4 separate regions of the Mus musculus genome follow, and regions 1, 2 and 4 are each reported to be linked to region 3. The links are microRNA targets in miRTarBase. Many come from high-throughput screens and were not tested one by one. Region 3 holds a microRNA gene; each other region holds the end of a gene's coding sequence.

Region 1 (8,079 bases), not on the chromosome of region 3:
CTTTGTTTTTGTCCATATCCAATGCTAGGTTGTAAACCCCTATTATTTGCGTGTACGAAGGAAGAATCCTGTGACAAGCACATTTTCCAAAATGAGTCTACAGCTATACCAAGTGGATAGTAGGACTTACTTGTTGGATTTCCGTAGTATTGATGGTATGTACACGCAGAACCCTGGAGGTCATGTAGTTATATAGCCTGCTTACCTCATTTGCTTTATAGTCTTTGTTTTCTTTCTTTCTTTTTTGAATAAAAACTAAGCATGCAAAGTAGTAAGCTTCATATGGCGCCTTCCTCCCTTCTCTCTCTCTAGCTTTTCTATCCTCCCTCCCTCCCTCCCTCCCTCCCTCCCTCCCTCCCTCCCTCCCTCCCTCCCTCCCTCCCTCCCTCCCTCTGCATGTGTCTCAGAACACATGGGACAGGCTGCAGAAGTCAATGTCAGGTACCGTCCTCCTTCACCTTCCATCTTGCTTTGGAGACAAGGTCTCTTTGCACACGGGTGGTTGCCCTTCAGGGTACACTCACGGGCCAGCAAGCTCCAGGGATCATTTAATTTCCGACTTCCAGCTTTGGCGTAATGGGCGTGCCCTCGCTGGCCTGGCTTTGACATGGGTCTGGGGATCAGCGGCAGGGCCTCCTTATCTACTGAGCCTTCTCCCCAGCCCCCCAGTGCACGCTGCCATACATGTCCTGCGTCCTTGGCATCCTCCTCACTGCCCTCCACCTCAGCTATGTCTTAGGAAGCTTCCTGGCCTTTTCCTGCTAATTCATAGGAAACATGACTTCCTATGTTCTGCAAGACTGACGTTTGTGAAACCTGTTATTCTTGCTCCATGTAGCATATTGATTTATAGATTATTGGGGCTAGGGATTTAGGTCAGTATTGAAGTTCTTGCTTCACTGGCTTCAATCACCATCACCTGACTATTGTTCTGTAAAATCTTTAAAAATATACAGGGTTTTTGTTTGTTTGTTTTGCTTATGCTCTAAGTGATGTTTGAGAAGCTGCAGGGTAAGAGCGCTGATCTGAGGTGGGGAGGGTCGAGCTCTTGAGAGGTGGGAACTGTCCCTTTGGTGCCTTGGACAAGTCCCTCAACTTCTGGCTTTTTATATCTGTAAAATGGTTCCTAGGTGAGACAAGTTCCAAGATACCTTTCATACTGCAAGTGATCGATTCTGTATTTTTTGTTTTGTTTTGTTTTTGAGACAGGGTTTCTGTGTAGCTCTGGCTGTCCTGGAACTCATTCTGTAGACCAGGCTGGCCTCAAACTCCCAGAGTTGTCTTTGCCTCCTAATTGATGGGACTAAAGGTGTGCTTGCCACTACCCAGTGAGTCTGTGGTTTTAATAAATATCTCCTAGCAGTGATATTAATTTACAGGTTATTAGTTTACTGTTTCTTAGTTGGTGTGAAAGTCAAGAGTGCTATACTATGTATCCCATGTTGACTGGCCATTGTATGTATTTTTTGTGCTGTGTGTAGAAGTGGTAAGGTGCTTTACAAAGGCACGCTTGCTCTATTTGAGAATGTAAATAAAACCAGTGTGCTTTGGAGAACTGGTTAGTAGTCTCACTTAGGTGCTGCTTAAACACTTGAGGGAGAAATAGATAATAAAACATTGAAATTCTTTCCACCCAGATGAGATTACAGAAGCCAAATCAGGGACTGCTACTCCACAGAGATCGGGATCCATCAGCAACTATCGATCTTGCCAAAGGAGTGACTCTGATGCCGAAGCTCAAGGAAAGCCCTCAGACGTCTCCCTTACCTCATCTGTCACCTCCCTCGACTCCTCCCCTGTCGACGTAGCTCCAAGACCAGGAAGTCATACAATAGAATTTTTTGAAATGTGTGCAAATCTAATTAAAATTCTTGCACAGTAAACCTAAAATTTTGCTTATTTCTTTGATGCAATAAGCATGCATAATAAATAATAGCCAAATACTTCCACTTACCAAGTTATATATATGTGTGTATATAACTGAGGATTGGCCTTTTGGAATGCAGTTTGCACAGGGACTGGAAAACGATTGATCGTTAAAAGCCTGATGTGCAGAATTGAATGAGGATCACTCTGTTATCCCGTATTCAGTAGGTACACACAGCGTAACACACACACAATGGACTGTAGGTCTCAAGCTTACTTGACTTTTGGCCATTTGAATTTGCTGTAACAGGTCTCAGTCGACCATAAATTTACCATAAAGCCTTCACATATTAGTACATGTTGATGTATTTTATATTAGCTTCATGAATTTATTGAGTTGCCTGGAATCCTCATAGACCTTATTAGATAATGCTGTTTTCTGGGCTCCTTAACTTCCAAAATAGCTACTAGTTTCCATTTTTGGTTACATTGTGAACTATTTCCATATTCCTCTTAACATGCTATTTTTGTGTAGTAAGTCATTTCAGAGAGCAGTCTGGATTTAACATTTTTCTTTGGCTTGTGAGCCCCCAAAGCCCCAGAATTTATATGTTCAGACCCTCCAAGCCCTGAATTTACTTTTTCAGGTTTGCCCTTTTATATATGAAGTGCTGCTTTGGATCCAAGAGCCGAGTTGCTCACACTGTAGTGAATCGTGTTGCTTCTGTCAGTGCACAGAGACGCTATCATGTCAGCCAGTGTTGAATGTCTTTGGTATTTTCTAAGCCAATCCAGTGCATAGAAAGGACAGTGTTTATACGCTCTGAATGCTAGGATTGGGGTTTTAGCCCCTGATTTTATTCTGGACAATTTTTAAAGAAAGAAAAGTTGCAAGAATTTAGTGACTGCATGTGTATTTACTACTTAGCTCCTACAACTACTGTTTGGCCATATTTGCTCTCTAGATCCACACATGTATAATATACAGATATGCACATATATTCGAGTATATGTTTGCTTTTATTCTGAACCACTGAGATGTTAAGGTATATATATATATATATATATACCAGCCCTGAATACTTCAGCACTTCCTAAAAATAATAATAATGTCCTTTAGAAACCTTCTGAAACCATTATAAAATCAATAATTTCCAGATAGTGCCTGGTTTTCCAGATTAGCTGTAACTGCCCAGAATTCCATTTAAGTTACAGCCTGATTTTATTTGCAGTTCTTTAATCAGGTTAATAACACTATTTTGAAAAGATGTAGAAGAAATCCTTTCTTCAAACTGGCCAAGTTTATTTCAGGTTTTAATTCAAAATAATGAGTGGCTAAAGAAGTGTGATTTTTCTTCAATCTCTGATTTATATGCCTCTCTCCTTTTAGTGGTAGCATAGCATAATGGGTGTAAGTGAAGATTTAAGTCACGCTAGACAAAGCCGGTATTGTGTGAGCTAATAATTAATGTCATATTGGCCATATTTGGTTTCCTTTAAGTTTAGGAAATTGGTCAGAGGCTCTAGCCCAGTGGTGAGGCTGGGTCATCTCCAGCAACGTGAAACAAAATGCATTTTCTTTAAACATTAACCATCCCCCCTTTGTAAGAGAGACTTTTCCCCCCACTGCATTCATTTAAAAATATTTTGCCCCATCCCCAAACCTGTCCAGCACTTATGTAAGAACGCATTTGGAGGACATGATAGCTTGCATAAAAGATGACGCTATAGTTTATGCACTGATTTCCGGACAAAAATGATGCTTCTTTTTGTTCGGGGCTTGTTTTATTCAACTCCGAATTGAATGCTGTATAAAGTAATGGAGACTCCATTTACCTGAGTTCCTGACTGTATTTATACCTGTGTGTTTGTGCCCTCTGTGTGGGGCTCCCTGATGTCACGTATGCTGTCTGAATGCAGCGCTGTATTCCCGCTGTGTAGAACAGAAGGCTGCATTTGTAAAGTTATAGATTTGTAAATAAAACTGAGGAATATCTCTATAAACTGTTGGGGGGACGGGGCACAAAAGGAGGAGCCAACTAAATAGGACCTTCTAAAATTTGTTAATTTTGTAATCTTTGCTTCTTTTATAAGTTATTCTGTGATTCCTTTTAGTTACCGAGTTTTATTTTGAAGACATTAAAATATTGCACTTGTATAAATAGTATGATAAATGCAGACTATTGCAGTCAAATTTTTTAAAAGCTAGGATATCTGAAATGACAACTTTCAGTTAAGTATGTCAAGCCCAGGACAGGATTTTCACAAATGTATTGTAGTTTGCAAATTCTTACACTGAAAATGTAAAGGGAGTCAATGCAAATGATTTTTAATCTTTTTTTTATTATCTTTTCAGCAATTTATATTTTCTTGTGATTTTATGCAACCATATTTTTACTTTGTCTTGACAACTGAAAGCTGTGTGATGTTTTTGACAGAAAAGTACTGTATACATAGTTTTAAATATAACAGATTTTGCTGATATGTAAAAATTTTGCCATTAAAGTTGATTTCTCATGAAAGGAACTTTTCTACCAAGTCGGGAGACGCAAGAGCTTAATATATCTAATTTAAAATAATTTCACTGAAATAAACACCATTGCTTTTACTTTGATTCTATTTTTTTCTTAAGATGCTTTTATAGTGTTTGGGAGTTTTAGATAATTTTATATGAATTCTCTCCCTACCTTGCCCCATCCTTTGGATCTTTGATACCATTCACAAATAAACTCATGTGGCTGGGTGTGTAAAGATATGTACCCCAAGGGGCATCTTGGGAAAGAAAACCATAAATTCTTCTCCTTAACTCCTCCCTCTGCCTGTTCATTGTGGGCTCTGACATGATGAATGGAATGCCACACACAGCCTGACTGTAAGCCGTTGTTGGGAGGAGTCCACCATTGTGGCTTATGTATGTTTGCCCAGAGTAACCTGATTTAGAAAGATGGCATAATAAAGAAAAAAGTTCGTTTTTCATTTGTTACACAGTATTTCTTATTTCATCAAGGTTTGGGGTGGGGTGCACTTGTTCATCGTTGAGTATCGGGGCTCGTTCAGGTACTGAAATATTACGATGCAGACAGTAAATGCTGAAGCAGCTGTCACAGACCAATCACAAACACAGGCCTTGAATTCCATCCTTGCTAGAATTCAGTTACTATTCAATCTAGAAACTCAGCGTTCTTGAGGCTTTTGCAGGATTGCTAGCTTTCTAAATCAGAAAAGCTTCATTTTAGATGTTATGAACAGCATGTGAAGTTCTTTTGGAGAGCTAATTTTTCTAGATCTTCATTACAAGTTTACACAAGAAACTGGCATGTGGAAACTTGCATCCATTAAACTGTCCTGTTCTGAATGAGTAAGCTTCGGGTTGTTGTAAATGCCAATCAATGGTGCCAAATATTTAGAGGCTGTTCACTGACTTGGAAGACATGGCCAAGTCTTTACTAGAGTTGAGGGCATCATGGTTAAGCTACCCTGAGAGACTGGGAAGAGGAACAGAGCCTCAAGCACTGTGTATTCATCCATATGGCCACTGTGAACCATTCATGACAGATGTCACCAGGACAGCAAGATACAGGTCCTGCGCCAACCATCTTATTAGGGATGGATGGAGATAGATATAGACACTAAAGTACAAACATGTAAGGATGGACTGAGTTGTTGGGAATGTGACCACGTGAACCTCCATCCAGACTGAGGAACAGTGCATCCACCAGACTGTCTATTACGATTAATATGAGCGTGAGGTGCCACAGGCCAACTCTGACATGGAAAGACCTTCACAGAGCTGTGAGCACCAAGAGCAGGAAACACTGAAGTTCTTTTATAGGCTGACTACCACAGTAATACATTGGTTATAGTGAATATACCAACTTACTTGACAACATTAATGAATATAATCAAATTATAAATAAAAATTGTATCTGAAGTTACCATTGATCTCAAAGTCTAGACACACTGGGAAGCTGTCAAGATTATTATATAAGGAGTACAGTTTTGTCATTGGAACAGACATTGTCAACTTTTTAAGTGAGAAAATTTGTGTGTGTATGTGTGTTTGCATGTCATAGCACATGTACGGAGCCCAGATGACAACTGTCTTTCCAACGAGTACGCTCTGCAGACATAACTCATGTCACAAGGCTGAGCAGCAAGCATCCTTACTTGCTGAGCCATTTCACAAGCCCCTTGCTTTATTCATTTCAAGAAAAGGTCAAAGACCTAAATATGAATATAATCAGTTTGTCAGCGGTTAAAAAAAAAAAACAAAAAACAGTTGTGTTCCACAAGATAGTGGAACTTTATAATAGCCTTAAAGAACTGGGTTTATTGGGTCTGGAGAGATGGCACTGACTGCTCTTCCGGAGGCCCTGAGTTCAATTCCCAGCAACCACTTGGTAGCATACAGCCATTTGTAAAGGGATCTGATGCTCTTTTCTGGTGTGTCTGAAGACAGCTACAGTGTACTCACAGAGAGAGAGAGAGAGAGAGAGAGAGAGAAAATAATTGATTTGATTCTTATGTATGTGCAGCCACTTGCAGAGGCCAGAACGTGGGGTTGGAAACTCCCAGAGCTGTAATTACACAGAGGCTGTGAGCTGCCAGATGCTGGTGTTGGGAACTGAACTTTGGTCCTCTGGAAGAGCAGGAGCCAGTGCACTTAACTTCTGGACTCTCTGTCCAGCCCTCATGGTGGAATCTTCACTCGCTTTTGAGAGGCATCACACTTCCGTAGCAGTAAAAGCACTTGGTATCATAGAAATATGAATGCCATCGTTTAGAAATGCCCTTGACGAAGCAGTGATACTTGGCTTATTAAAGTGAGTCTGGAAATTGGGACTCTTGCTAGGTGACATAGCTAGGTCTCATCTCAGGAGAAACTTGTGTTCCAGAGTTTCACTGTAACGGCGTGACAGAGGACTCTATCACTACCATTAGAGTTTGCATCATTACCTCAAATCCACGTAGCTGCTCTATCACTGTGGCGTTTTAACAGCCAGCACCAATGTTTACTTTTGTGAAAAATGGCAATATGTACGAGTTCTGGGTACGGAAGGGCCTTTGACACTTGGTATCTGTGGGTGTCAGAAGAGGGCAGCAGTTCCCCTGTAACTGGAGTCACAGATGTTTTGAGTCTCTCTGTTGAGTGTTGGACCTGAACCCAGGTCCTCTACAAGAGCAGTAAGCCATCGCTGGGGCCAGCATCAGTGATTTTAATGCCAGCGTTGGGTAAGAGTGTCCCTTCAGGGACTATTTGACATTTTGGAGAGAAAGAAGTTAGTAGTCCTTTTGGTAATGTATGTGTGTGTGGGGGGGGTGGGGATGGGGATGGGGGTGGGAGGTGGGGAGGGGAGTATTACTAATGGTATCTCAGAATCCTACCATGTTTCTGTTTGGTTTCAGACCCAGGAACAAACAACTTAGGTGTATATTTTACATACCAAAGCAGACCTGGCCTCCTGGTTCTCCCAGCATCCCTCAGTCCCTAGTATAACTGGCCCCCAATCCTGAATTTTCAGCACAGGGCCTGGACTCCCTTCCCCCAGAGGATCTTTGCTATATAATCCATTTTGTTTTCTCCCTCCCCATCTCCCCTGCCCCCTTGTCTTAGCCTGAGGGCTCTCTTTCTCTTCCTCTTCTCTCCCTTTTCTGGCCTCCTTCCTTGGGGCCAGTGAACTCACCTGCCCGAGAGCAGCTTCTTAATAAACCTGCAGTTGTATATATTTTAATCTGGCTTGAATTGGCTCATTTTACCAGTGGAGAAATAACTTATCAGTTTACCTCAACAAATAACTAGCCAGTAAGACATGCGGTGGCGCGTTGAAAAAGCGTGGTCTCCATAAATCGATCTTGGCTTTGTGTAGCACAGCTATGTGGATAAACTTAAGGAGTTTTCAATTCCCTCAGTGTGCCCCATTGTTAACATCAGCCTGCTAATTTACTTGTAAGAAGTGACAGGTGCTACTTTCAGGCTCTGCTGTGGATTCTCACAGGAAGCTTGCAGTTCAGCCCAATCCTCCCTGATCGGCTCTTACTTAAGGTTTCTGTTGCTGGGATAAAACACCATGACCAAAGTCATCTCGGGGCGGAAAGGGGTTATATCAGCGTCTAGTTTCACATTATAGAAGGAAATCAAGGTAGAAACTCAAGCAGGGCAGTAATTGGTCCTTTTTAAGGCTTGTTCAGTTAGCTTCCCCTTGGGCCAGACCA
Region 2 (8,079 bases), not on the chromosome of region 3:
CCCCCTGTCTCGTTTTTTGACTGTTGCATATTATTTTGAAGTATCAGTCTCCCTTTTATGTCCTTGACCGATCTACACTCATTAGCCCAATGCTTTCCTTTACCACACTTTGGGCAGATGCCTGGCACCTTCTTTTCAGGTTTACTCCTTCTATCCCTAGGGCATTGTCTTTGTATATGTCCTGTCTGTCCACAACTGTAGCAAGTTATTCCTTTTGATCTCTGAGCCGATAATACAGCTCCGGCTAGACCTGAATTAGACAATGGCCCTCCTATCTCTCTGCATGCCTTCACCCACATCTGCAGGCCCTTTCCCTTCCAAGGTGTTATTGTATTCCTACACTCCTTTGTGCATTGCTCATAAACTAGTTGTTCTATCAATGGCATAGCTGCTTCAGAATCACCAAATATTCTTCTGGCTGCCTCCATCATACGGGCTACAAAATCTGAAAATGGCTCATTCATTTCTTGAATTACTTTTGTCAAATTTCCTGATACTTCCCCCCTATTAGGCAGACCTTTCCATGCCTTTATAGCTGTATTATTAATTTTTCATAGACCTGCACTGGATAACCTACTTGATTATTTGCCCATTGTCCTTGTCCTGTAAGCATTTCGAAACTCCATGCCAGTTGCCCTGTTGCTGCATTGGCACAGGCCTGATTAGCGCTAACATTATGCCAGATAGATTTCCAATCTAGATATTGTCCCATAGTTAAGCATGCTTTAACAACACTCATCCAATCATTGGGTGTCATAGCAGTGTGAGCGAGCCTTTCTACCTGAGATTGGGTGAAAGATGCATTGACTCCATAGGTCCTCACCGACTCTGCTAAATCTTTTACTTGTTTGTGCCCCAAGGGTTCATAATATCTACCCTGATTTTGGTCCTCAAACACCGGAAACATCTGTCTCAACTTCCTTCGTACTGCTGGAGTACCAAAGGAGTGGCTGCTTCCAGTATCACTTCCTGTTTTCTTAGAATAAGGTGGAGAAGGTGGAGGGACACTGGGAGCTGACTCTATCGGGCCATACCGTTCCGACTCATAAGCTGCAGCAACCTCTTCTAGCTCCTCCTCCTCCTCTGTAGCTAGTTCAGAATCTTCTGAGCTCGAAAGTTCAAGCTGTTCTAGATCAGTTAATGATGGGCTTGATCTCCGTTCCACCCCCCTTTTTGGTCTCCTTTTTTTCTTTATCCTTTTGACTCTTCTTTTCCTTTTCTAGTTTTTGTTTTCTGCGCACTCCTGCTCTCACATCTTTCTCTGTTTCTGACATACTTTCCTGATGTTCCTGTAACAGTCTTTGTCCCTCTTTTTCACACTTCTTATCCTGTATACAAGCCCTAATTAGTTTTCAAAGCAGAAATGCCTGGTTTCAGTTTCCCTTCCCAGCAAACACACTCATGCCCTGGACGATGGCAATTAAGGCAATAGCACAGAATCAGGACTACTATAAAGATGACTAGAATGAGACAAGCAACTGTTAAAGGATCTACTCCAAAGGGAAGCACACCTCTCAAAGACGTACGTTACTCCTTCCCCGTGATGCAGTTCTGAATCCTCCCTGTAACAGGGGGTCTTTGCTCATGCCTGAAGATGTTTCGTTCCCGGGTTTCCGCACCACTTGTGGACGCCCGACTCACCAGCAAGGAAGACGCCACAACAGGATTATTCTGCACACGTTTATTGGGAGAGCTTGATAGAGAAGGCAAAAGTCCCCAGCCCAGAACTGGCGCTGCTTGTATAGGCCTAGGAGTGGCCTATACTTGATTGGTTGTGTTTCAGTGTCTCATTTACATTCCCCAGGATGGGCTGTGACGTGGCGCAAAACCCTTATGCACATGCGCACATTGGTTGTTTACCCGAACTTATGGGCGGTGGCCAGCGGTAGCCAGCGCCATCTTGTAATGGCGTATGTAGCTTCCCACATGCTGAACCCTTACAACCCAGGCTGAATTCAAACTGGATATTGTGAGGTCTCAGAGAAACCCGGGACAAATGGCTGAGGTGCCTATTTAACACACCAAGGCAGACTCTGGCTCAGTCCATACTCACAAGTGCCTGTTACAGACTCGTCCTGCCTGGCATGCCCCGCCCCCCTACCCGCATTCTCTCCAACGCCAGAGCTTTCTTCCCCTTACCCCAGATTCTCCCATTCCTGTATATATAACCAGCCATTTTGGCTATGTGGCCTCTCTTTTGGTCCACAGCCCCTCCTTCCTCTATGGATTCCCACCGCCATCTCATGGTCTGCGTCAGTCTGCTAGCCATGTGCAGTCTGGACTCTCCCAGATGCCTCTGGCTTCTCTGTCATTCATATCTACAGTAAACGTCCCCTCAACCATGCCGTCCTTTTCCCATTCAGACACATAGCAGAGAGCGGCCTCAAACCCTTTCTCCACACCTGTGCTAAGTCACACCAGCTTCATCAAGTAATCAAAAAGAACGATGGCTGACCCAGCCTCTCTCTGCCTCAGGAGTCAGGTTAGGACAGCAATATCTCATTTCTGACATTACCCGCCTGGGATCGGATGGGAAGCCCTGAGCTCATGACCACCCAACCTAGCACCCCTTTTATTACTGTGTCAGCATGGTGTCACTCTAAAGTTGAGCCAGAGAGAACCCAGGACAGGGACAGGGAGGCTGGCCCCACTAGCTCGGACTGTCCTGGATGGGGGCTGGTGGCGGCCATCTGGTCTCTTCTAGATGGAACACGGGGGCAGCCATTTTGTCTCCACTGGGTGGAGCAAGATGACCTAGCTTCCCTGAAAAGATCCGGTTCACACTTTGAGTCAGTGTCTTTATTGGTTCAAACAACACAGTATAAAAACCAGACTTGGATGCCAGCATCGGGAACTCATAACAAATATTCTACAGCCTGGATAGTCGTTCTTACAGATAAGAGACAATGTCCAAGGTTTGGAGCGAGCACTCAGTGGTAAAACAAGCCCTGTTCCCAGCAGGCAGCTTACAACCATCCAGCGCCATGAGATACAGCACCCTCTTCTGGCTTCCGTGGATACTGCACTCATACCAACCCACATAATTTAAAATGAAAACATAATTTATATATAAATAAAAGAAACTATGTACAGTTGGGTGTGGTAACTAACCTGAACTATGTAGAAGACTGATTTGCTAATAATAAAATAAACTATGTACAAAAGGCTCCTGACCCTTGTTTCAAAAATTTAGTTCCCGGGGCTGGAGAGATGGCTCAGTGGATAAGAGGGCATTGACTGCTCTTCCAGAGGCCCCAGGTTCAATTCCCAGCATCCACATTACAGTAATTTCTTGTAACTCCAATTCCAGGAGTCTGACACCCACACACAGATACACACGCAGGCAAAAACAAACAAACAAACAAACAAACAAAAATAACCCACCAATGCACACAACACCATCTTTTGAAAAGTCACTCAAAGCTTTGGCTCTTGCACGTCCATGCCACACCCAAGAATACTACCTAAAATAAATCTATAAGGAGATCAAGTGCCAGTAAGAGACACCTTGATGGAATTAAAAATAAATAAATAAAGGGAGGATTTTAGTTGAACTTCCTGAAAGGATGCCTTCGCTTGAGACTGCCTCCACCTGAGAGCCAGGCCTTCCTACCTCCATTCAGCTGCCATGAATGAAGCCATTCAGCCCAGGTGCCATGAGCCTGCTGTGGCCACCAATAGTCTCCAAGGCTTACGAGACTCACTCTGCCACCCAGGCTTTGATACCCTCCCCCATGGTCACACTTTCCTGCCAATAGCCCAGGGAGTCAATGGCCCCAGCTCCTGTGTGTGGGTATGGACGTGTGACGAATATGCGTATCTATGTCACTGGCCACATCTCACAATTGTGCAGATAGACACATCCACAAGAGGGCCAAACACGTCCCAGCCATCAGTGATAATGGTGTCTTAGTCAGGGTTTCTAACCCAACACTGTGACCAAAATGTAAATTGAGAGGAAAGGGTTTAACCTGCTTACACTTCCAAATCGAGGTTCATCACCAAAGGAAGTCAGGACAGGAACTCACACAGGGCAGGAACCTGGAGGCAGGAGCTGAAGCAGACACCACAGAGCGGGGCTACTTACTGGCTTGCTCCCCGTGGCTTGCTCAGCCTACCTTCTTGTAGAACCCAGGACCACCAGCCCAAGGATGGCCCCACCCACACTGGGCTGGGCCCTCCCCCCTTGATCACTAGTTGAGAAAATGCCTTACAGCTGGATCTCATGGAGGCATTTCCTCAACAGAGGCTCCTTTCTCTGTGATAACTCCAGCTTGTGTCAAGTTGACACACAACCATCCAGCACAGACAGGATGAAGGCTGCATGTCTTAGGGCAAGAGGCTTTGGGGCAGTGCACATCTGTGCAGCATCTGGGGCAGTCCAGCTTGAAGCCCTCTTCGACTTTCTGAAATCTACCCAGCTGTGACCATGTAAAGTAGCCCAGGTGTGGTGGCACACAGCTGTAGTCTCAGTACTCAAGAGACTAGGGTGGGGTTGGGGTAGAGAGATGCTCACCTGGGCCACAGAGTGAGACCTTTCTCAATACGATAAAATAATTAACTGGGCGGTGGTGGCACATGCCTTTAATCCCGGGAGATCGGGAGTGACGTGGCAGAGACACAGCTACAGCTATTTGAATGCATGTGTGTTTTCCAGCTGGAAACTGAATTTAAAAACTATTTTTCAAAATGAAGACTCATTTATGGTGGGGTGTGGTGGCCTAAGTTTGGGTGATGTCAGCGCTGAACCAGGCAGATCCCTTGGACTCTCAACCTCAGACAAACCTGCTTGGGTGAGTCTCAAAAAACAAGGCAGATCGAACTGGAGGCGGGATACCGGGGATTGACCTCTGACCTACACTACCTCCCTCCACCCAGTGACACACAGAGACAGACAGGCGGGCAGGCAGGCAGGCAGATAAGCAGACATATATACACACACACCAGCTAAGACTCATGGATTTGGCAGATGTCAGTCATGAGGGATGAGGGAGTTGAGGGTGGGGGGATGGGATGCAGAGGGGAGAGCCTCCAGGTTCACTCGATGAAGCCTGACCTCCTAACCCCATTCCAGTGCCGACCCCAGCACAGCTTCTGGGTCCCACTTCCCGGAAGAAAGTGTTCCCAGACAATGCTGAGCGCACAGAGAATTGTCCATGGTCCATTCTTGCCTGCAGGGAATCACAAAAGTGGGCCATCCTATGGGGGTCTTCCGGGTCTCCGGGCCAAAGCTGCTGACTATTGGCTACTCAGAAAGAACTTGTGTATGAGATGTGGCCTTCAGTCCGGACTCTGGCTATCCAGATTCGTGATGTCCTGGGAGGGGAAAAGCCACAGGCAGACTCAGCAGGGCCAGAGACAGCAAGCTCCCCACCCTGCCGCAAGCTCCCTACCGAGCCAATCCACACCCACGATAGGTCCCCTAGACTTTGCAGCTCCTCTCCCCCTTCATCGGGCACAGCTGTCCTCAGTTCTTCAGCCTCAGTCTCCAAAGCCCTGATCATTCAAATTGCATCTGCCACTTCCTGCAGGCCCTTGGGACCAACTCGCAACACCGGGCTCAGTTGCCTGTCCTTTGAAGCTGACTACAGCTTAGCTCTTGTCTTTGTGTCCCAGAAGACTGCAGCAAGGGGGGAGGATGGCATTTGAACTGAAGCCTAAAAATCAGATGTGGGGGGTCAAATAGATGGCTCAGTCGGTAAAGGTCTTTGCCAGTAAGACTGGCAAGCTGACTTCCATCCATCCCTAGAACCAACTCCCAGGAGTTGTTTCTGATCTCCACCCGTGCGCCGTGACACTCACACACCCGTGCACACGTATCAGGAAAGTCAGAAGACCTGTGGCTATGCTGACCCGTCCTTACCCCCGCTCTCACCTGCTCGGCCTTCCTGGACAGGAAGTGGGCGTAACTGTGTCCCTTGTATTCGCCTCTGGACTGCATCAGGGTGCAGATGGTGCAGCTGCGGGTGGCCGCAAACTTGTTCAGTGTGCCAAAGGCACAGGGTGGCGGCCTGTTAGCGAGGCTCCGGCCTTCCTCTGAGAGGCTGGCCTTCTGTCTCTCTAAGGTAGCCACCAGCTTCCTGAGGGAGGCATCCGAGAACTCGTTAAAAAAACGCTTGAAGCTGGGGTACTTCCGGATCTAGAACGGAAGTGGAGTCGTCAGTGCTGCAGCCTGCGGGGTCTCCCCGACTCCCGCCCCAGTCTGCTCCCTAGCATCCTGGGAGAGCACCCCTTCATTAAATCCCTCCACCACCCTACCCTCACTTCTATAAGATATGGCTTGCAGCTGCAGGGCAAAACAAAACAAACAAAAACCAACGCGTGTGTACGGAGAGCCAATATGGCACGGAACTCGTCGCCTTGAGCCTCCATTCAGCTAGAAAAGTGGGGGTGACCAGATCCCCTCTCCAAAACGGTTGGAAATAGACTCAAGAGGCCAGGAAAAACACTCAATAGATTCTCAGCCCCACACTAAGGTCCTTCCGGCTAATTTACTTCTCTTCATATCCGGACATGGTAACTGGGGTCTCCAGGAGGTGGGAGGTGGGAGACCCAAAGACAAAGACTTAGGTCACACATGAGATTTATTTGAGATCCTGGGCACACCGATGGGGATAAGGACCTGGACAAGGATGGTAAGGTGGCCCAGGCAGTGATGTGTGGATGCCTCCTAGGGAGGACTGCTAAGGTCTTCCGCCAGGGTGGAGGCTGCTTGAAAGAACAAAGAACTGGGTCGAGCAAAGCTGCTTGCTGGCAAGGCTGCGCCCACCAAAGGTGACCTTGTGGCAGGATCTGAGTGGTCGGAGGTGCTCTGGCTTTGGCTTGGGGCAGACCCTGATTTGGAGCAATTAGAACATTCTGGTTCTCTCTCTCTGTCTCTGTCTCTGTCTCTCTCTCTCTCTCTCTCTCTCTGTGTGTGTGTGAGAGAGAGAGAGAGAGAGAGAGAGAGAGAGAGAAAATGTGCGTACACGCATGCACATATGTATATGATGTTTGCACTCATGTAAGTGTGCATACAGAGGCCAGAGAATCCTTGCTCTAGGGCTCTGCCTTATTCTCTTGAGACACAGACTCTCATTGACCCTGGAGGTCGGCTAACCACCATCAAACCCCAACGATCTTCCTGTCTCCTCCCATACAGCTCTGTGTTCTGACAGGCACATGATCCCATGCTTGGCTTTTTTACATGTGTGCTTGGGATTTGAACTCGGGCTCTTGGCGGGCGGGCATGGCAAGCAGGCATGGAGGGCATGGCGGGCAGGCATAACACGCACTCTCCCTGCTGAGGCATCTCCCCAGCCTGCCTGCAATCCTATCATTTCAAGCTAACCTTCTCTTCACCAGCCTCGTGTTAGTGCTCTCTGTAGAGACACCTGTTAGTCAAACAAGGAATATCCCTATTTTTCAAAAGAGGTTCAGAGAGGTCAAGGGACATGACCAAGGTCACTCAGAAGTAGGGATAGAACCCAGGTCTCAGGGGAGGGAGCTCCCGTGTCTGCCTGGAGAGTTTGAGGGGTACTCACCTGCCTCCCTAGATCCCTGTCCACCTCTTGGAGACTCGCCACGAGCTTTTGGATCATGAACTCCTCTGAGGGAAGAAAGGAAAGATGAGAGACTGTCCACAGTGACACCCAGCACCCATGGCGGGCAGCACAGCTGCCCAAATAGAGATGTATGTTCTATCTAAGCGCCTGTGACTGAACTCAACTCCACCTGACACACAGGACAGCTGAGGGCTCCTAACCTCAGGAATGGAAGCTTGCGCTCAGAGTGGCCAGCCAAAACATGTGGAGGGGAACGTCCCTTGGCCATGGGTGCTGTCACAACAGGAGGGCTACTTGGCTGTGCTATGGCTCTTTGGTGTTGATTTGAACCGGACTTAGTAAAATATGCAGGAAACTCACGGAGAGGTTGTAACAAACAGCTTGAATTGGACCAAGGTAGAATCATTTATACCAGTGAGACTGACTAAGGTCCCTAAAGCCATCAGTATCCCTGCCCAGCAGCCTCAGTTTAAAGAGCACACCAATAGGGCCTGGAGGCATGGCTCAGCAACTAAGAGCACTGGCTGCTCTTCCA
Region 3 (8,079 bases):
GTGTGACCCTGGCAAGTGACATGTCTTATCAGTTAAGATGAGGCACACAACTGCACCTACATTTTCACTCACAGAGGGTTATGCTGGAAACCACAGGAGTTAAAAGATTTAAAATGAACGGAAAGTTCAACAAAAGGGGCATCAGCCTCATGCTGAAAACCCAGACAAATGTCCAGGACTCATGAACTCATGGATCTTGGAGAACCTACAACCAGCATAATCCCTAACTACACTCTAAATAGTTGCTCTTATACCACAGCTAAGTGTGGTCCTCACGCATCAAGGAAACTTCTCTTTGCAACAGATAGAGATCATCACAGAAAACTACAGCCAATCAAAATGCAGAGGTGTAGAGCCCAGCCCCAACAGATAAATATGCCTATAATTCCCATACCTAAGGCTCAAAGAACATTTTGGAAGGTGGTGGGGGTGGGATGATTTTTAAGTGAAAAAGAATCAGTGAGTTTGCTGTGAGATTGTGACTCGAATGTTGGAGGCTACATCCATATGTTTCACCAACATGACACCTAAACATGAGCTGGACAGGCATAGTGACAGACATGCTAAACTGGAAGCAGGTGGGAAGTCCACGAGGCCTGAACACTATACAAATAACCAGAGGCAGCTAAGGACTGCTAGGAAGAGCAGGGGAGACAGCTTCTTCCAGGGAAGGGCACATCAAATGGTTACCAATGGTCAACCCCTGAAAATATTCATACAAGCTGCATTGATGTATTACAGAACATGTATGTATGTATGTATGTATGTATGTATGTATGTATGTAAGTAACAACAATCATTAAAAAAAGAGAGCCTATGAATTTGAAAGAGAGCAAGGCAGGATATATGAAGAGTTTGGAATGAGGAAAGGGTAAGGGGAAATGATGCAATTCTATTATAATCTGAAAAAAAGATTATCTGGGGATTGAGGCTATCTAGCTCAGTAGTAGAGCACTCGGTTGGCTAAGCAACACATAAGGGCCTGGATTTGATTGCTAGCACCAAACAGAAAAAAAAAAAAACAAAACCAAAAATCAAACAATATTGTCCTGCTCACGGCAGATACAGTGCATGCCTGCTGTTAAACAAACACTACCTACACCGCTCTGCGGAAGTATAGGTGGGAGCGTACAGTTGTTAAGGAATGTGGCTGGAAGCTGGTCGTACATTTTACAAGCACTGCACACAGATGCACACCAGCCAGTGTGCAGCAGGCCTCGGGCCTGAGATCACTCTGTGGAAGTTCACCTTCTGGAGCTCAAAGAGACACGATGGGGGATGGGCTGGGATGAGGTGAGGGGCCACAAGGCAGGATGTGAGTTCCTCAGATATAGTGCCTTGAATGCTGCTAAGCACCTCACCATCCATGTCATCAACAAAGACTCACAAATGCTCAACTCAGCCTCCCCTGGTGGCACTGCAGCATCGACAGAGCGTAAGTACTGACAGGTTGGACACCAAGGCCTATGCACAGGCAGAAAGCGAAGCTTGGAACACTAATCTGTCAGGATTTCTGAGCATTCTAAGGGCCTGATGATAGATATATATTATATGTGTAATATATATATTGTGTATCTCGATACATAAAGATATTTGATACATCTCTCTATATACTAATATATATAATAATGTATGATATATTTTTTTATGTTACTTCAACTTGTAAATAAAATAATTCCTCACTACAATGTAAAATTAAGCTTCCAGGGTTAAAACTGTAAGCCAACAATACTCAAATTTAAAACAAAGAGAGGTTCTCTTCTTGTGTCTATGGCATCCAATATTATTTATTCAACTGAGAAAAATTGTCTGGTCTCAAAAAGGTCACACATATAGACTTATTTCCTCAACTAGTACAGAGGAGCCGAAGCAGCAACCTCCTATAGCAACAGGGAGAGAAAACTTCTTAATCCTGGCACTCCAGAAAAATGGTACCCGAGATGCCATTCACACAAAGCAAACTCATGCCAACTGCCAGAGGCATGCACATGCCTTCTTCACACCAAGAATATTCTTGCTTTCCTCAAGGAAAGTGAGGTCCAAAAATCTGTGTCTCTATGACGTGAATAGCACAAGAATATGCACATGATACTCCCCCTGCCCCATCCTGGTGCCTGTCCCATTCGCAGATAAGATGTCAATTGTACCTGTCAGGGCCTATGCTCACCCTCCATCTTCTGAGATACTGGAGCCTTCCACAAGATTAAGGGCAAAGGGGTCCCCATCACAGACTTTGCTGAACACAATTCCCATCTGTGCTTGCTTGGGGCAGGCGGGGTGTGTGTGGCAGAGGAGGTGGGGTACACTAAGCCCTGGGGCAAGGAGCATGTGTCCAAGCCTCAGACCCAAATCTCAAGGCACAGAATAGTCCCATCTGGACTACTTTTAAAGCTCCACTCGGAGCAGACTACAGTCTCCCAGGAGACGCGGTAATCTTAGGTTTCTGGATGAAGAAAGGAAACCAAAAGGATTATGTGGTGAAGGACAGTCGCATTCCAAAAGGCTACAGACATTAAAAGATTATTCAAGGCCCCAGAGTTGGAAGTGAAAGACTCTCTAAAACTAACTTAAAAAAAAAAAAAAGATAAAAACATATATTCCATGGTCACATGCTGTTCTGCCGAGGCCCAAACTCTGGGCCACACACATTTGGAGACAGTGGTTTTTACAGACTCCAGGAGAGCCATGGATCCTCTGCTGCCCCAGAGCAGAAGCTGGACACAGCACTGACCACAAAAAAGCCAACCTGGCCCAAGATGGTCACTCACCACCAGTTGCTTCCAGGAACTGATGGGATCCCGCACCTAGGGAGCTGTGCTTGCTGCCACCTCCCCCCAGAACGCTCCAGTGACAATCTGTTTGAGCAGTGTGGACTTCTGCAGGTGGCCTGCCATTAGGATTGCTCAAGTCTAGGTTTCCTGTCCTGTGAAACCCTTTACAGAGCTTATCAGGAGGTAACGTGTGGCTCTTGGGGTCCTTCCTGCTTATCAGTGTCCCCTGCTGCTAAGAGAGTATATTCCCTTTCATCTTCTGTTCCAAAAACCTCCCACTGCCAACTCTAAAAAGTAAAAGAATCCTTCAGGCGCCTCCCCTCAACGTGATGGCACCGCCATTCTTCAGCTATCACAGTACTGTACCTTTCAGAGCTACAGCATCGGTACCATGATAACCGAAAAAGGGCAGTTCAGTCTCAGATCTACCTGCCCCTCCCACTTACCACCCCTCGCTGACCAAACAGCTAGCTTAAGTCTGTGAGCGTGTAAGTGTGTATACATGAGTACACGCTCATACATGCACACCCCCACACTCCAACACTCACGCATACACGTGAGCCTGTTTCCAAACCTGCTCATTTATCCCTGACTAGAAACTCCTCTTGAGCTTGGCGCTCTGTAATTCAAGTTTCCAACTAGCTACTGTTCTTGGAGTGTGCATGTTTTTATATCCTAGATGTTAGTATCCAGCTGCCCAAACGCATCTCTGTAACTCCCAACTGGTCTAATAGCATCCCTAGGAATTTTGCCTCTCTTTGGCTCTTCTAGCCAGCTAATACGGAATGCTATTAGAAAATAACCATTGACCACAAATAAGAAAGGCAGCGGGTGAACGGGGTGTAAAGTGAATAAATAAAAGTTTTTAAAAGGAAAAAGGATGCCAGCAGGAAAATGAGGATGGAGAAGCTTCCAGCTCCATGTTTGTCTCCAGGATAGAAACAAATCACAAAGCAGAGCCACGAGAGCCACCCAGCGTGCCTGAGAGCTCAGAGAACATGGGGACAGCAGGTGTACTGGGAAGAAGGCAAGGCCCGAACCCACGTGTGAAGAAAACCATCAGGTTAATAGTGGCCACTGCTGGCTGGTTAGAGATCAGTACAAGCAGGGACAATGCTGTGGTCACAGGCTACACACGGCACATCCGGGTCACTCTGTACAAACAGAACACATGAGCGAGGACAAAGGGAAACAGCTTACGTGTAGGGTGAGAGTGGTCCCAGCAGGACTTTGGAAACGTCCTGCTGTCCAAGGGTCATGAGCAGCAGAACTAGACTTTGGTTGGTCGAGTCTACGCATCCACCCTGTAAACACAAACACGCTGATGATTAATCATAGTACAAACCAGAAAGGGTAACAAACACGCAGGGAGAGAGGAGGACACAAGCCCTCAGAACACCAGACCCTCAGACAGTGAACTGAAGGTCAAGCAGCGACAGACAGAACATGGCCTCCCGAGGAAGATTCATCTACAACCATCGAGACTAAACTAACAGCTAACCCGAGTAACAGCTGAAAGTCACGTTCCCAAGATCTACTGGGGAAAACAGTGAGCCCTCCCTTCCAAATTGGGGCATTTCCTTCGCTCTAGGAGAGGTACAGTTGCTCCCGAGCAGACGACCTATAAGGATCTGGTGAGGCTCCGAGCAGTGGGGCACACACAGAGAGTGAGTAGCTCTTACAGGTCTCCCTGCACTCAGCCCATCTTGCTCTGAAACAACTCCAGATGTTCCTAAGTGCGTCTTACCTCTTCCCATGCGACCTAACACCACAAAGTGCCACAGTCAGACTGCTTGTTCTTATTACAAAGACATTATCCCACCCCAAGTTTTCTTTCCTTCTTTTTTGTCTTCCAAGCATAAGCAAAACAGTTTTCTTCAAAATTTTCCTCCTGAAGCACAACTGTTTCGTTTGCTTCCTTTTTTCATTCTTTATTTCCAACCATGTCTTTAAAGAAGAGGCCTTTATTCCTCATTATTCTTTCTAGGGTAACAATGTCAACACATATACAACTTTACAGAGTACAAGTAGGATGTCATAAAGTTTTTACCCATCTTACATATCTGAAAACTTAAGTTTGTGAGCATGGCTCACTGCTGTCCAAGGCTAGACTCTGAGTATAACAGGCAGTCAGCTGAAGATGCTTACAGGGGACCTCCTTCCTTTTCAAAGGCACCCAGGGCAGGGAGTAAAGCGATCCGCAGCTGTAAACACCCTCAGGCTGTCACTCTTGATTTAGTAAGCCTTTATGAAAATCTATCCCTCTAAAGTTAGTAAACAACAAGAAACATTTTTTTCATTTTATTCATCAAACTTTAGGATAAAAGCTGCTTTTCCATACAAACAGGAAATCTGACCAACCAAACCAATTGTCTCACAGCTCTTGTTTATTTTTCCTACAGTCCTAAAAGTAAGCTGTTGTCCTCTCCTGCTCCCTGCACCGAGCCACTACTGCACCGTCCTCAGATGACTTGTACTAGGTACTGGAGGGACATTTTAATGCAGTAAATATGTCACGGTCCATGTACAGGACATGGTGGAGGGAGCGGGGGCTACAAGTGGTGGCACAGCTGAGGCCGGCTTTGGGAGCAGGCTCTTGAAGTGGCTGAGGGGCCTTGGAAAGAAGACAGGAGCAGTGGAGGGGTACGGCTCACAGGCACTGGGAAAGCGCCAGGCTCTATTCTATATTCTATAGAGGGTGAGGAGCCAGTGCAGGGCTCTGCAAATGGGCAGAAGGAGACTGAGTCCAGGTATGGAAGGAAATGAGAGGGAGGTTGAAGAGGATGTGCAAAGAATCTCCCGCTGAAGACAAGAGCGGCTCCCACTCGAGTGTGAGGTGAGGAGAGGTGGAAAGACAGCAGGACAGAACCCCTGGTACATGGTAACCCATGAGCAGAAACTGGTACACGGAAACCCCTGAGCAGAAGGAACTGGGTCAGAGACTCACTCTCTCTCTCTCTATATATATATATGAGGGTCTTATGCTTCCATGTCACACCACAGACCTACAGAGAATTAGTCAAAATAGCATGAAGTGTTTCAGCCTTTTAGTAATTAAGGACTAGACACTAACAGGAAGTTTTCTTAATGACTAAAACAAAGCAAACTTGCTTGAGGAACAATAATAGTTTTTAAAAGACCTCAATTAATCTAACACAGGTTTTCCTCCCGTGACTGGTGGGAAACCCAAATGCCAGCTGTGCCCATGGGCTCCTGCTGAACTCCTCTGGGTCATGGTGTCTGCCGTTCTCCCATGGTCTCCTAGAAAGGGACGTAAGTGTCCCCATAGTTGGAGAGAGGACACAGCAGCCCACAAGGTCAGGTGGAGACCTACACAAGCCAACGAGAATCTCAGAGGCAGACAGTTACCACTGTACCCTTCTACCTGACAACACAGAGATGGGAAATGTTATAAAACTCTATGAATTAAGTAACTGGTGAATCAATGGCTTTATCCTTCTACCCACAGACGTCTAACTACCACCTATCTCTCAAAACCAGCGCTAGATCTGTCATTAAAAATAAACTGATGTGGCACCAAAAACCCTGCACCAGACCTGGGCTACACAAGATTACTGACAGGCCGTGTCCTAAAGGAGGTCTCACTCCCTGGCTCCACTGCTCCTAGCAGCAAGCACAATGGCTACGCCTTGCTCTTCAGCTGTATCAGGAGGGGCTCCTATCTTTAATTAGGTAGAATGATGACGTTCATCACATGACTAGTGCGCAGGGTTCAAGGCCGGCTTGGATCAGCTTGGACAGGGGAGCAGACTACAATTGTAAGCAGTCTTCAACTGTGCAGGAACTGTATCCATAATGGGCTCGCTTAGGAACACACTTTCCTCTTGCCAGCATCTTCTCTTCCCTCACGATCTCCTCCTTCCTGTCAGACACCTCAGCCGTGGGAAAGTCAAGTGTGTGCTCACTTTTGTGCCTGCTGCACATGTGATCAACAGTTTGTAGCCATGAAGAAGTCAGGTCACCTGCCTGACCTGCATCCTACCCACACAACCACAGACACACGTAGTAACTGGCTAAAGTCTATCTTTAACAATGCCAAGTTCTCACACTTCCCAGAGCCTCCACCACGCTGTGACAGTCTGGCCTTCCCCAAACAGTCTTCAATGCCCTAGAATAAACGGCACAACTCTATCCACACACAAATCCAGATTTCTACCTTGATAAATCTGAAGGTGAGTCCCTATCTCCACAGAGCAGCAGCTGGGGCAGCTGAGAGGCTGTAGTCCTGGGACTAAAGAAATGGCTTGGAGTTAAGCCCACTTGCTGCTCACGAAGAGCACTCAGATTCACCACAGCACTCACAGACTGGCTCGTAGCCACGTACTGCAGGGGATCTGACAACCTCTTCTGGCCTTCCCAGGCACCAAGTATGTATGTGGTGCACATATATTCATGCAGGCAAACACACAGAAAAATCAAAACAGATGGGGAGAGGTGTGTGTGTGTGTGTGTGTGTGTGTGTGTGTGTATGTGTGTGTGTGAGAGAGAGAGAGTGAGAGAGAGGGAGGGAGGGAGGGACAGAGACAGACAGAGGCAGATGAAAGAGGGGTGGTGGTAGAAGTGGGGGACACTCCTTTTGGTCAGGCCAGTGCGCCAGCCATCATCTTAGCCTTCCCTGGTTGCTTTATTTTGAACCCTCACTCCCTCCTCTCCTCCGTCCCCATGAAAAGCTATATCTTCTGTGTCCCAGTAGAGCAGACTTGTTCATGGACTAGTTCAATGAACCCATTCAACTAGTTAATTCTAAACTGCTTGATACTCGAACACAGGCGAGCTCTTTAGCTCAAGTGCCCAGAAAGGAGTACAGAAGGAAAGACATCCGATCGTCTTTTCCTGACTGTTCCTTTCTCTGCGCCTGCAGAGCCAGGGGACATACCCTGTAGATCTCTTCAAGTAGCAGCTTTGCACAGTTCCTGCCGAGGTCCTCGGGAAGCACTGCTGCTCCCTGGCCCTGGGGATTGGAGGCCAGTTCCGCACTCAGGAAGGTACCGTTGGTAGTCTCTGCAACCAGCGACAGCCCAAAGCCTGGAGACCTAGAGATGCAAGGGCGGACACCCAGTAAGCAAAGGCACACACGGGGCACACAGCGAAGACAGATGTGTTCTTCATTAGAGGAGTAGACTCCGAGGAACACTAAGAAGAACCAAGGCGAGAGGAAGTTTGCATGCCCTTGCTTCCTCCCTCTCTGCACTTTACAAAGACTCTCACAGTACCTAACAATCACAGAATATGATGTCAACAGGCTTCCAGGTATCCGAGCATGCAAATAACATCAACGTTAGCTCAG
Region 4 (8,079 bases), not on the chromosome of region 3:
GGCAGCATGCGGAGGCTGAGGCCGGTGAGAGGGCGCAATAAGCAAACCTTTGCTGTGCACGCCTTGTACCCTGAGTTAAATCCCTGGAATCCATGGAAAGATGGAAAGAAAGAAGCACTTCCACGAAGTTGCTTTCACACGCATGCTCACACATGCACACTACACTCTCCACACGATATATATATTTTTTTAAGGGAACACTTCCCCAAAGAAGTGGCATGTTGGGGGAGGGGCGTGCCTGCCCAGGTGCTCTGCCTTGCTTCTAACCCTTTTCTTCTCTCTTAGCCCTAAGTCCAAGGCCCGGCCATCCTCTCCCTCTACAACCTGGCACAGACCTGCCTCCCCCTGCCCCAGCCCAGGACCAGGACATGCCCTTCCTCCAAAACCACCATCCCCCCGAGGCACCACTGCATCACCCAAGGGGCGGGTTCGGAGGAAGGAGGAGGCAAAAGAGAGCCCCAGCCCGTCGGGGCCTGAGGACAAAAACCACCGCAAGAGTAGAGCCGCTGAGGAGAAGGAGCCAGCTGCCCCAGCCTCACCAGCGCCCTCACCGGTGCCCTCGCCCACCCCAGCCCAGCCTCAGAAGGAGCAATCCTCAACACAGATCCCTGCAGGTACACAGGAAGTGAGGGTGGGCAGGGCAGAGATGTGCCAGCTTTTCCTATGTCCGGGAAGTGGGCCAACAGACACTGGTCACAAGGGACAGGAAGAGGGACCTCCTCCCAGGTCTCCGACACCCGTAATGGCAACAATTGAATTGAATGCGTGCATAGCTGAAGTCCTGAAAGCATGGGGGCGCACAGGGCTGATGGAGGGGCCTGTACTGGTGTGTACTAACTCCTGGTCTTGGATCTTCCTCTAGAAACTGCTGTCCCGGCTGTCCCAGCTGCTCCGACTGCCCCTCCTACCGCTGCTCCCTCGGTGACCCCTAGCAAACCCATGGCGGGCACCACAGACCGAGAGGAAGCCACGCGGCTCCTGGCTGAAAAGCGGCGCCAGGCTCGGGAACAGAGGGAACGCGAAGAACAGGAGCGGAAGCTGCAGGCTGAAAGGGACAAGTGAGTGTGACCTCGGGGACTGTGAGGGTCCCTAGAGTGCCTGAAGAAGAGGCGCAGACCAAACTTGAGTTTCCTGGGTCCTCCAGGCGAATGCGAGAGGAGCAGCTGGCCCGGGAGGCTGAAGCCCGGGCTGAACGTGAGGCCGAGGCGCGGAGACGGGAGGAGCAGGAGGCTCGAGAGAAGGCGCAGGCTGAGCAGGAGGAGCAGGAGCGACTGCAGAAGCAGGTGCCCAGGCGGGCGGGCAGATCTTGGCTGGCAATCGGTGGGCTTGCCTGGGAGGGAAGGCTGAAACAGAGAATCCGAAACTTATGGAGGCCTTTGGCAGAAAGAGGAAGCCGAAGCCCGGTCCCGGGAAGAAGCTGAGCGCCAGCGCCAGGAGCGGGAAAAGCACTTTCAGAAGGAGGAACAGGAGAGACAAGAGCGAAGAAAGGTGTCCAGGGCAGATGGGACCTGGGGGCGGGGCCTTGCCGGGGCGGGGCCTGGCTCCAGCTCCAGTTCTTGGAAATTAATTGTACCTGTGAACCAGTGGGGCCCAGGCTTGGATTTGTAGAAGATCGGATAAGGAAGGACGGGTGTGGGTTGGGAGGGAACTGAGCTCTAGAATAGGGCCAGCAGGTGGGAAGTTGAGGACTAGGTCTGGGTTTGAGCCTAACTGATGTGGGGCCTCCTCCAACAGCGGCTGGAGGAGATAATGAAGAGGACTCGGAAATCAGAAGCCGCCGAAACCAAGGTCAGGATTCTCAGGTTGGGGAGCGGGAGTTGGGGTGAGGAAAGGAGGCTGCAGAGAAGCCTCCAGAGCCGAGGAAGGATACAGTGAGGGAGGCTCTTCTGTGTCTGGGCCAAAAGGGAATTCAGTTCCGAGGTCAACGGGACCACATAGCCCTGGCACCTGATAGCTCTTCCTTTTCAAACCAGAAGCAGGATGCAAAGGAGACCGCAGCTAACAATTCCGGCCCAGGTAAAGCCACCACGCATTTTCTTTGCCCTGGTCACCCCTGTGCTCCAGTTCCACCCTTCAACATCCCCTAACTGATGGCCATTTCTTTGCCGCCATAGACCCTGTGAAAGCTGTAGAGACTCGGCCCTCTGGGCTACAGAAGGATTCTATGCAGAAAGAGGAGCTGGCCCCCCAGGAGCCACAGTGGAGGTACCAGCTCCCAATCCCAGGGACTCCCAGGCCAGCAGCTGCAGGCTAGAGCTGTGGACTCCTCTGGGCTTCCCAGGGAGGTGAGGTGTTAACCCTGAACCCCTACATCCACAGCCTGCCAAGCAAGGAGATGCCAGGGTCCCTGGTAAATGGCCTGCAGCCTCTCCCAGCGCACCAGGAGAACGGCTTCTCCCCAAAGGGAACCGCTGGGGACAAGAGTCTGGGTCGCACAGCAGAGGGGCTCCTCCCATTTGCAGAGGCAGAAGCCTTCCTCAAGAAAGCAGTGGTGCAGCCTCCACAGGTCACAGGTGGGGACTCTAGGGACCCTGGTTCTGGCACCCAGCTGCATCCCACCCATCCCTGCCTGGGGCTCCCCGGGCCTAACCTTTATCCCTCTCCCTTCCCTTAGAAGTTCTTTAAGCAAATTGCCTTGGACCGAGGTGCAGCTGTGAAGGTTCCTCCATATCAGCTCGTGGGTGTCTGGAAGAGAAAGAGACAGAACAAAGATGGAAGTGGCCTGGTGGACCCCTGGGGGCAGAGTTCCTCTTTGTTTTTAATCCGCACCTTACAGACTGGTGATGTCTTTGGCTGAAAGCAGGACTGCCCCTCAGTACATCCGTGTGCTTACACGCTCGGACACCCATCTTCCCCATACACAACACACACACACACTCATAGCCTCTCTGGTCTTCCCCCTGGGGAAGGACCACTTGTAGTATTTGCCTTGGTTTGCTGGGGTACAGTGGATGTGAATACTGTAAATAGCTTGTGCTATGTGGAAGAGGCGGGTAGGGTACAGGAGGCAGAACCCCCCTCCCAAGTCTCCCTGGGCAGATCTTCCTCTATTTAACTGTAACCGAGGGGGAACCCAGGTCTGGGAATGGAGGGGCACCTCGGGCCACACAATACTGGTTGCTTCAGGGGTGATGCCCCCTGTCCTCGCCTGGAATCAGTGTTATTACATCTGATCAAACTTCTCCGGAAATAAAGGGAGAAAAATTCTGCCAAACCTACGTGTCCTTGGATCTGGGGGAGGGGGAGGGGGAAGAGAGGTACAAGTAGGTGACCTGAGCTCTGAGACCTTCAGGAGCCTGGGGCTGGAGGCTGCTACACCCTGATTGGTGTAGCAGTCCTGGCCTCCCTGTGCTATGGTTTTTTTAGTTTGGTTATGAATTCCTTCCTTTATTTCCTCAACAGATATTAATTGCTGTGCGTAACCTAGAAGTACAGAACTAGGGAAAGGCACAGCCTCTGTGCGTGTGGAGTTTCTACCCAGACAGCGAGCATCACAGAAGCTGGGCTTTCTGCTCAGCATCCCTCTGCCCCTTATTCCTGTTCACTACAACCCTGACCTCTCCAGGTACCCAAGTTCTTTCCCAGTACCAACTCACCTTAGCAAAGGTGGCACCTAGCCCACCTCTGGCCAGTGAATTATGACTTCGGTGACCCAAAAATGATGGCCCTGTGGGTCATGGATAGGCTTGCATGTGTGCATGTGACAGTTCCAGCCAGCAGGTGTGAAGAGAAGTCTCCCGAGAGTTTTGTAAAGGAACCCCATGTGACAGATAGGTTTGATGTGACCCTCCGGCATCCCCTGTCGTCACACTCTTGCAGTCTCCTCCCGAGCTGTAACTAGGTTGGCCGGAGTAGCCAATAGACTACAGCAGAAAGAATGGTGTTTCACTAAGCCAAGGCCTCTGTCTTGGTTGCCTTCCTGATCTTGAGTCACTCAGGCTGGGTAAAAATCAGAGTGCTTTTAAGAGACCTGTCTACCCAGACACTGAAGCCTCTGCCAGCAGTTATGAGACTCGGTCCAGCCTTCAGATGGCCTTAGGCCTGGCCCACAGTGTGACCCTCACCTCATGGACCACCTGCAGCTAGAAACAGCTAGAAAGTGAGGCAAACTTTAAATTGCTCTTGTGTGGTTATTTGCCACATGATAGCACCATGAGAGAAGCCCCGCTTCTGTGATGGAAATTCACATCGTGAAGCTGAAGGTTAGTTCACACCCCACTAAGCAGCCTGCAAACAAAGCCAAAGCAAAGATGGCAGCATTGAGAGCCTAAGTCTGCCAATGCTGGGAGTGTGTTTTTTCTCTTTCATTCATTCATTCATTCATTCATTCATTCATTTTTCAGTACTGGGGATTGGATCTGGGGCATCTTGCATGCACGTCAGGCAAGTCTTGTAACACTGAGCCGCAGTCCCAGAAATCTAAGTCTTTGAACACCAACCACCTAATTAACCAACCATAAAACCTAAAGCAGGCCTATTTCCGGCTGGTGAAGGTACTTACAGTACAAGTACAAGCTGCCGGAGGAGAGAACTGACTCTACAGAGTTACCCTCTGACCTCCATGTGCCCACACATACACCATGCACACAGTAATAAATTCAAAGCCAAAACATTTTAAAGCAAACCCACCTCCAAGCGATTTCCCTTACTGTCTAAGCCAATGAATGCAAACTGAATTTTCAGTGTGGTTCAAAGCTTCTAACTTGTCTGGGGACACATAAATATGTGAGTTTGCTTCCCTTTTGAGAAACTAAAAAGGAGTTGTGGGCCTGTTGGCCTGGCCTTTATCCTAGCACTTAGGAAGCTGGGGAAGGAGGCGTAAAAGGTCAGAGCTGGCATGGCCGCCTAGGGAGAAGTTCAAGCAGGAGTCAGCATGTGAGATGCTTTATGGGTGCCTGAAGGAGTGTTCCAGAGAGTAGCTACAGAGGGCTGGGGAGATGGGCAGGATGCAGGGTATAAGTCACAGGCATGGCACGGCTGGGGAGGCCAGGAAGGGGTTAGCCATTCTGGGCCACAATGGAAGTTCTTCACATGCCCTTCCCAGCCCCCCACTGGCGTCTCCCTGGAAGGCAGTGTCCTCTTGAGTACGCTTAGGAAAGCATTTATTCATTTGTTCAGTCAGTAAATTGTGGAGCAGCTGCTAAGTGCCAGAGGGATAAGGTGGTTAAGCAGAAACCAAGCCCAGAGGCTCTGAGCTTCCTGAAACGGCAGGAGGTGGACATTAATCAGACCACACAAACAAATATGAAAGTACAACGTGGGGTCAGTGCTGTGAGAGCTCGGAGCAGCAGGGTGTGCCCCAGGAGTCCAGCAGGTTAGCAAGCTAGGCCAGGTGGCTTTCACCTGGGGGGCTGGGTGTTGACTGGCAAGGTCAGCAAGGTGGAAAGGAGAAAGATGGCTCTCTAGGCAAGCAAAGGGCTGTGTGGGAAACAGCTACGTGCCTGTATCCATATGTGCATAAACATGATGGACGCGGTCTGGGGTTTTCCGATGAAAGCAGTACCCACTGCCCAGCAGAAGAGGCACTCTCTATTTGTTGAGTTAGACCCAATTCTTAAGAAGGAGCTTGCAGCCGGGCGTGGTGGCGCACGCCTTTAATCCCAGCACTCGGGAGGCAGAGGCAGGCGGATTTCTGAGTTCGAGGCCAGCCTGGTCTACAAAGTGAGTTCCAGGACAGCCAGGGCTACACAGAGAAACCCTGTCTCAAAAAAAAAAAAAAAAAAAAAAAAAAGGCGCTTGCTATGAGGGGAACCACATAGGTAAGGCCTTGGAAAGCTATGCTTACAAACTTAGGTTTTTATTCTCAGGACTCAGGAACCACTGAAGGCTGTTAAGTAGGGATGGTGACATAAGATTAGAGATTCATTAGAATACTCTTGGACTTCTGGGGGGAAACTGCTCAATAGGGGTTGATTATACACCAGGAGGCAAGAAGGGGTCACCAAGGTTCAGACAAAAAAAAATGTCACAGACCTGACCTGGATGAAAAGAAAATGGGTGGGGGCTGGAGAAATGGCTCAGCAGTTAAGAGCACTGACTGCTCTTCAGAAGGTCCTGAGTTCAAATCCCAGCAACCACATGATGGCTCATTACCATCTGTACAGCCTACAGTGTGTGTGTGTTAAATAAATAAATCTTAAAAAAAAAAAAGGAGAAGAAGAGAAAGTGGGTAACCAATATAGTCAATTGTTGAAGGAACAAGTTATTGGACCAGTGTGCTTTAATTCTAGCACTCAGAGGCAGAGCAGGTGGACCTCTGAATTCAAGACTAGCCTGGTCTACAGAGGGAGTCCGGCCAACTACAGCTACACAGTAAAACCATGTCTGGGGAAAAAAATTAAAAAAAACTCAAAGCAACTGGGCAGTGGTGGCACACATCTTTAGTCGGGATGGAGAGACAGGTTGATCTCTATGCATCCAAGGCCAGCCTGGTCTACAAATTGGGTTCCAGGACAGCCAAGGCACAGAGAAACCCTGTCTGGAAAAACCAAACCAAATAAACCAGATACACTGAGCTGGGGAGATGGTGCTGTTGGCAAAGTACCCATCTTGCAAACATTTAAGTTTGGACCCCACCATTTTGTCTACCCAGCCACCTCACCTGCCCCGGAGATTGTTTTTAAGTGGGCAAAACTTGATGTAGTCCTTAATAGAGGTCCATTAATAACTAAGCAGTATTTCAAACAAATACATAATTACAGCCTTGATAGCCCTGAAGCAGCTAAGTGTGTGGCATTAGAAAAACGAGTAAGAGATCTGACCCCAGTCATGGAGATGAAGCAGGGCATCCCTGAGAAAGGAGCTGGAGCTGAGATCCCCAAGAGTTCCTAGTGCAAAGGTTTGGGGTTTCAGGTAGAGGCAACTCTACAAAGGCCTGTAGTGAATGGGGCCGGGGTAGATGAACCATAGAAAATGAGGGGGGTTGGGTCTCACAGAGATAGGAAGGGCCAGCTCATTCAGGAACCCTGCCACCGAGGAATCTAATGTTTATTGCAAGCACACTGGAAGCACCGTGGGGTGGTTCATACCCGTGATCCCACAATCCCAGCACTAGTCATTCAGGCAGAAGAATTGCGAACTTGAGACCAGCTCTGACTATTCAGTGAGACTCTGTTTAAAGAACCAAAAAAGTAATAAACAAAACCCCAGGAGGTGGGGACAGCAAGATGACTCATCAGTGAACCCAGGAACCCCTCTAAAAGTACAGGGAAAGAATAGACTCTACAAAGTTGCAACTGACTTCCCCATGTGTGTCTCCCCACCCCCAACGCACACACAAATAACAATAACTTATTTAATAAAAGGAGCGGTAAGGGAGCTACTGGGACAGGTTCATCAGGTAGGGGATGTAACCAGGTTATCACGACTGTCACCTGGAAAAGGTATTGAAGGAAGAGTGGCAGTGGAACTTGCTGTAGAAATGGGTCCTAGTGACGAGATGCTGGGGACTTGGCTCACTGCGTGGTGGAAACCAAGAGATGGACAGAGTACACAGAAAAGCTCATTGGTCATGGGAAATGGAAAAAGGATCAACGACAACGACAATTCCAAACCTTCTAGGTCCAATCCAATCCCACAGACACTGGTATTCGTGTACAAGGAACGGTGGAAAGGACTTAAGGAGACCCACAGAAGTGTCACACAGAGAACTGTACAGAACTTGAGCTCAGGAGATGGGTTTAACCCATAGCCAGGGAGAGTGGGCAGCGCAGCGGTACATCTTAGAGGCATCTGCGGCAGAAGCCCGAGGGTGGCTCCCCTGGCACAGTGGGCCTTTTCCGGGAAGTCCTGGGGCAAAGGCTGCTTCCAATGAACTGGCTGGACCTGAAAGGAGGCTGGCTCAAGGTCTGATTTCCTGGTTTCCTTGCCAGAAAACTTAGGAATGTCCGGTCTATTCAAGACTCCGAGCGTCTCTGAGGAGATGGGAGGTGGAGGCAGGGGCCCACCCCATCCAGAGAAACCTCCTTTTCCCTAATGCTGCCCTTTTCCCAACAGGGTCAGAAAAGGCAGAGCCAGGAGGCCACAAAACGTTCTTGGCTCCTCCTCCAGCCGCCAACGTTCCTGAACCCTGGCTCTCTT

The links. Region 3 holds the annotated microRNA mmu-miR-101b-3p (GUACAGUACUGUGAUAGCU, at 3,119-3,137, opposite strand). A microRNA usually pairs through its seed, bases 2 to 8, with sites in the 3' UTR of a target mRNA and lowers its output. Matches are read on the target gene's strand: a 7mer-m8 pairs with bases 2 to 8, a 7mer-A1 pairs with bases 2 to 7 and ends in A, and an 8mer does both.
Region 1: miRTarBase lists Prkaa1 as a target of mmu-miR-101b-3p. Seed matches in the 3' UTR shown: 7mer-m8 at 4,310-4,316 and 7mer-A1 at 4,736-4,742.
Region 2: miRTarBase lists Bnip5 as a target of mmu-miR-101b-3p. Seed matches in the 3' UTR shown: 8mer at 3,280-3,287.
Region 4: miRTarBase lists Map7d1 as a target of mmu-miR-101b-3p. Seed matches in the 3' UTR shown: 8mer at 2,959-2,966 and 7mer-A1 at 3,055-3,061.

Annotation. Positions count from the first base shown.
Region 1 is chr15:5,177,051-5,185,129 of GRCm38, forward strand. It overlaps Prkaa1 (protein kinase, AMP-activated, alpha 1 catalytic subunit), which reads left to right. Exons shown (of 9, transcript NM_001013367.3): 8 at 29-155; 9 at 1,638-4,849. The coding sequence ends at 1,882. Among named protein-coding and RNA genes, the nearest start is that of Ttc33, 4.5 kb to the right of the region's middle.
Region 2 is chr17:28,893,608-28,901,686 of GRCm38, forward strand. It overlaps Bnip5 (BCL2 interacting protein 5), which reads right to left. Exons shown (of 12, transcript NM_172450.3): 10 at 7,524-7,588; 11 at 5,876-6,139; 12 at 2,788-5,316. The coding sequence ends at 5,281. Among named protein-coding and RNA genes, the nearest start is that of 1700030A11Rik, 7.6 kb to the right of the region's middle.
Region 3 is chr19:29,130,396-29,138,474 of GRCm38, reverse strand. It overlaps Mir101b (microRNA 101b), which reads right to left and starts at 3,196; the gene lies at 3,100-3,196. Rcl1 (RNA terminal phosphate cyclase-like 1) reads right to left here. Exons shown (of 9, transcript NM_021525.2): 7 at 7,669-7,825; 8 at 3,972-4,075.
Region 4 is chr4:126,227,302-126,235,380 of GRCm38, reverse strand. It overlaps Map7d1 (MAP7 domain containing 1), which reads left to right. Exons shown (of 18, transcript NM_001347198.1): 10 at 286-614; 11 at 863-1,058; 12 at 1,145-1,283; 13 at 1,384-1,488; 14 at 1,735-1,788; 15 at 1,974-2,016; 16 at 2,115-2,205; 17 at 2,320-2,513; 18 at 2,615-3,214. The coding sequence ends at 2,625. Among named protein-coding and RNA genes, the nearest start is that of Map7d1, 25 kb to the left of the region's middle.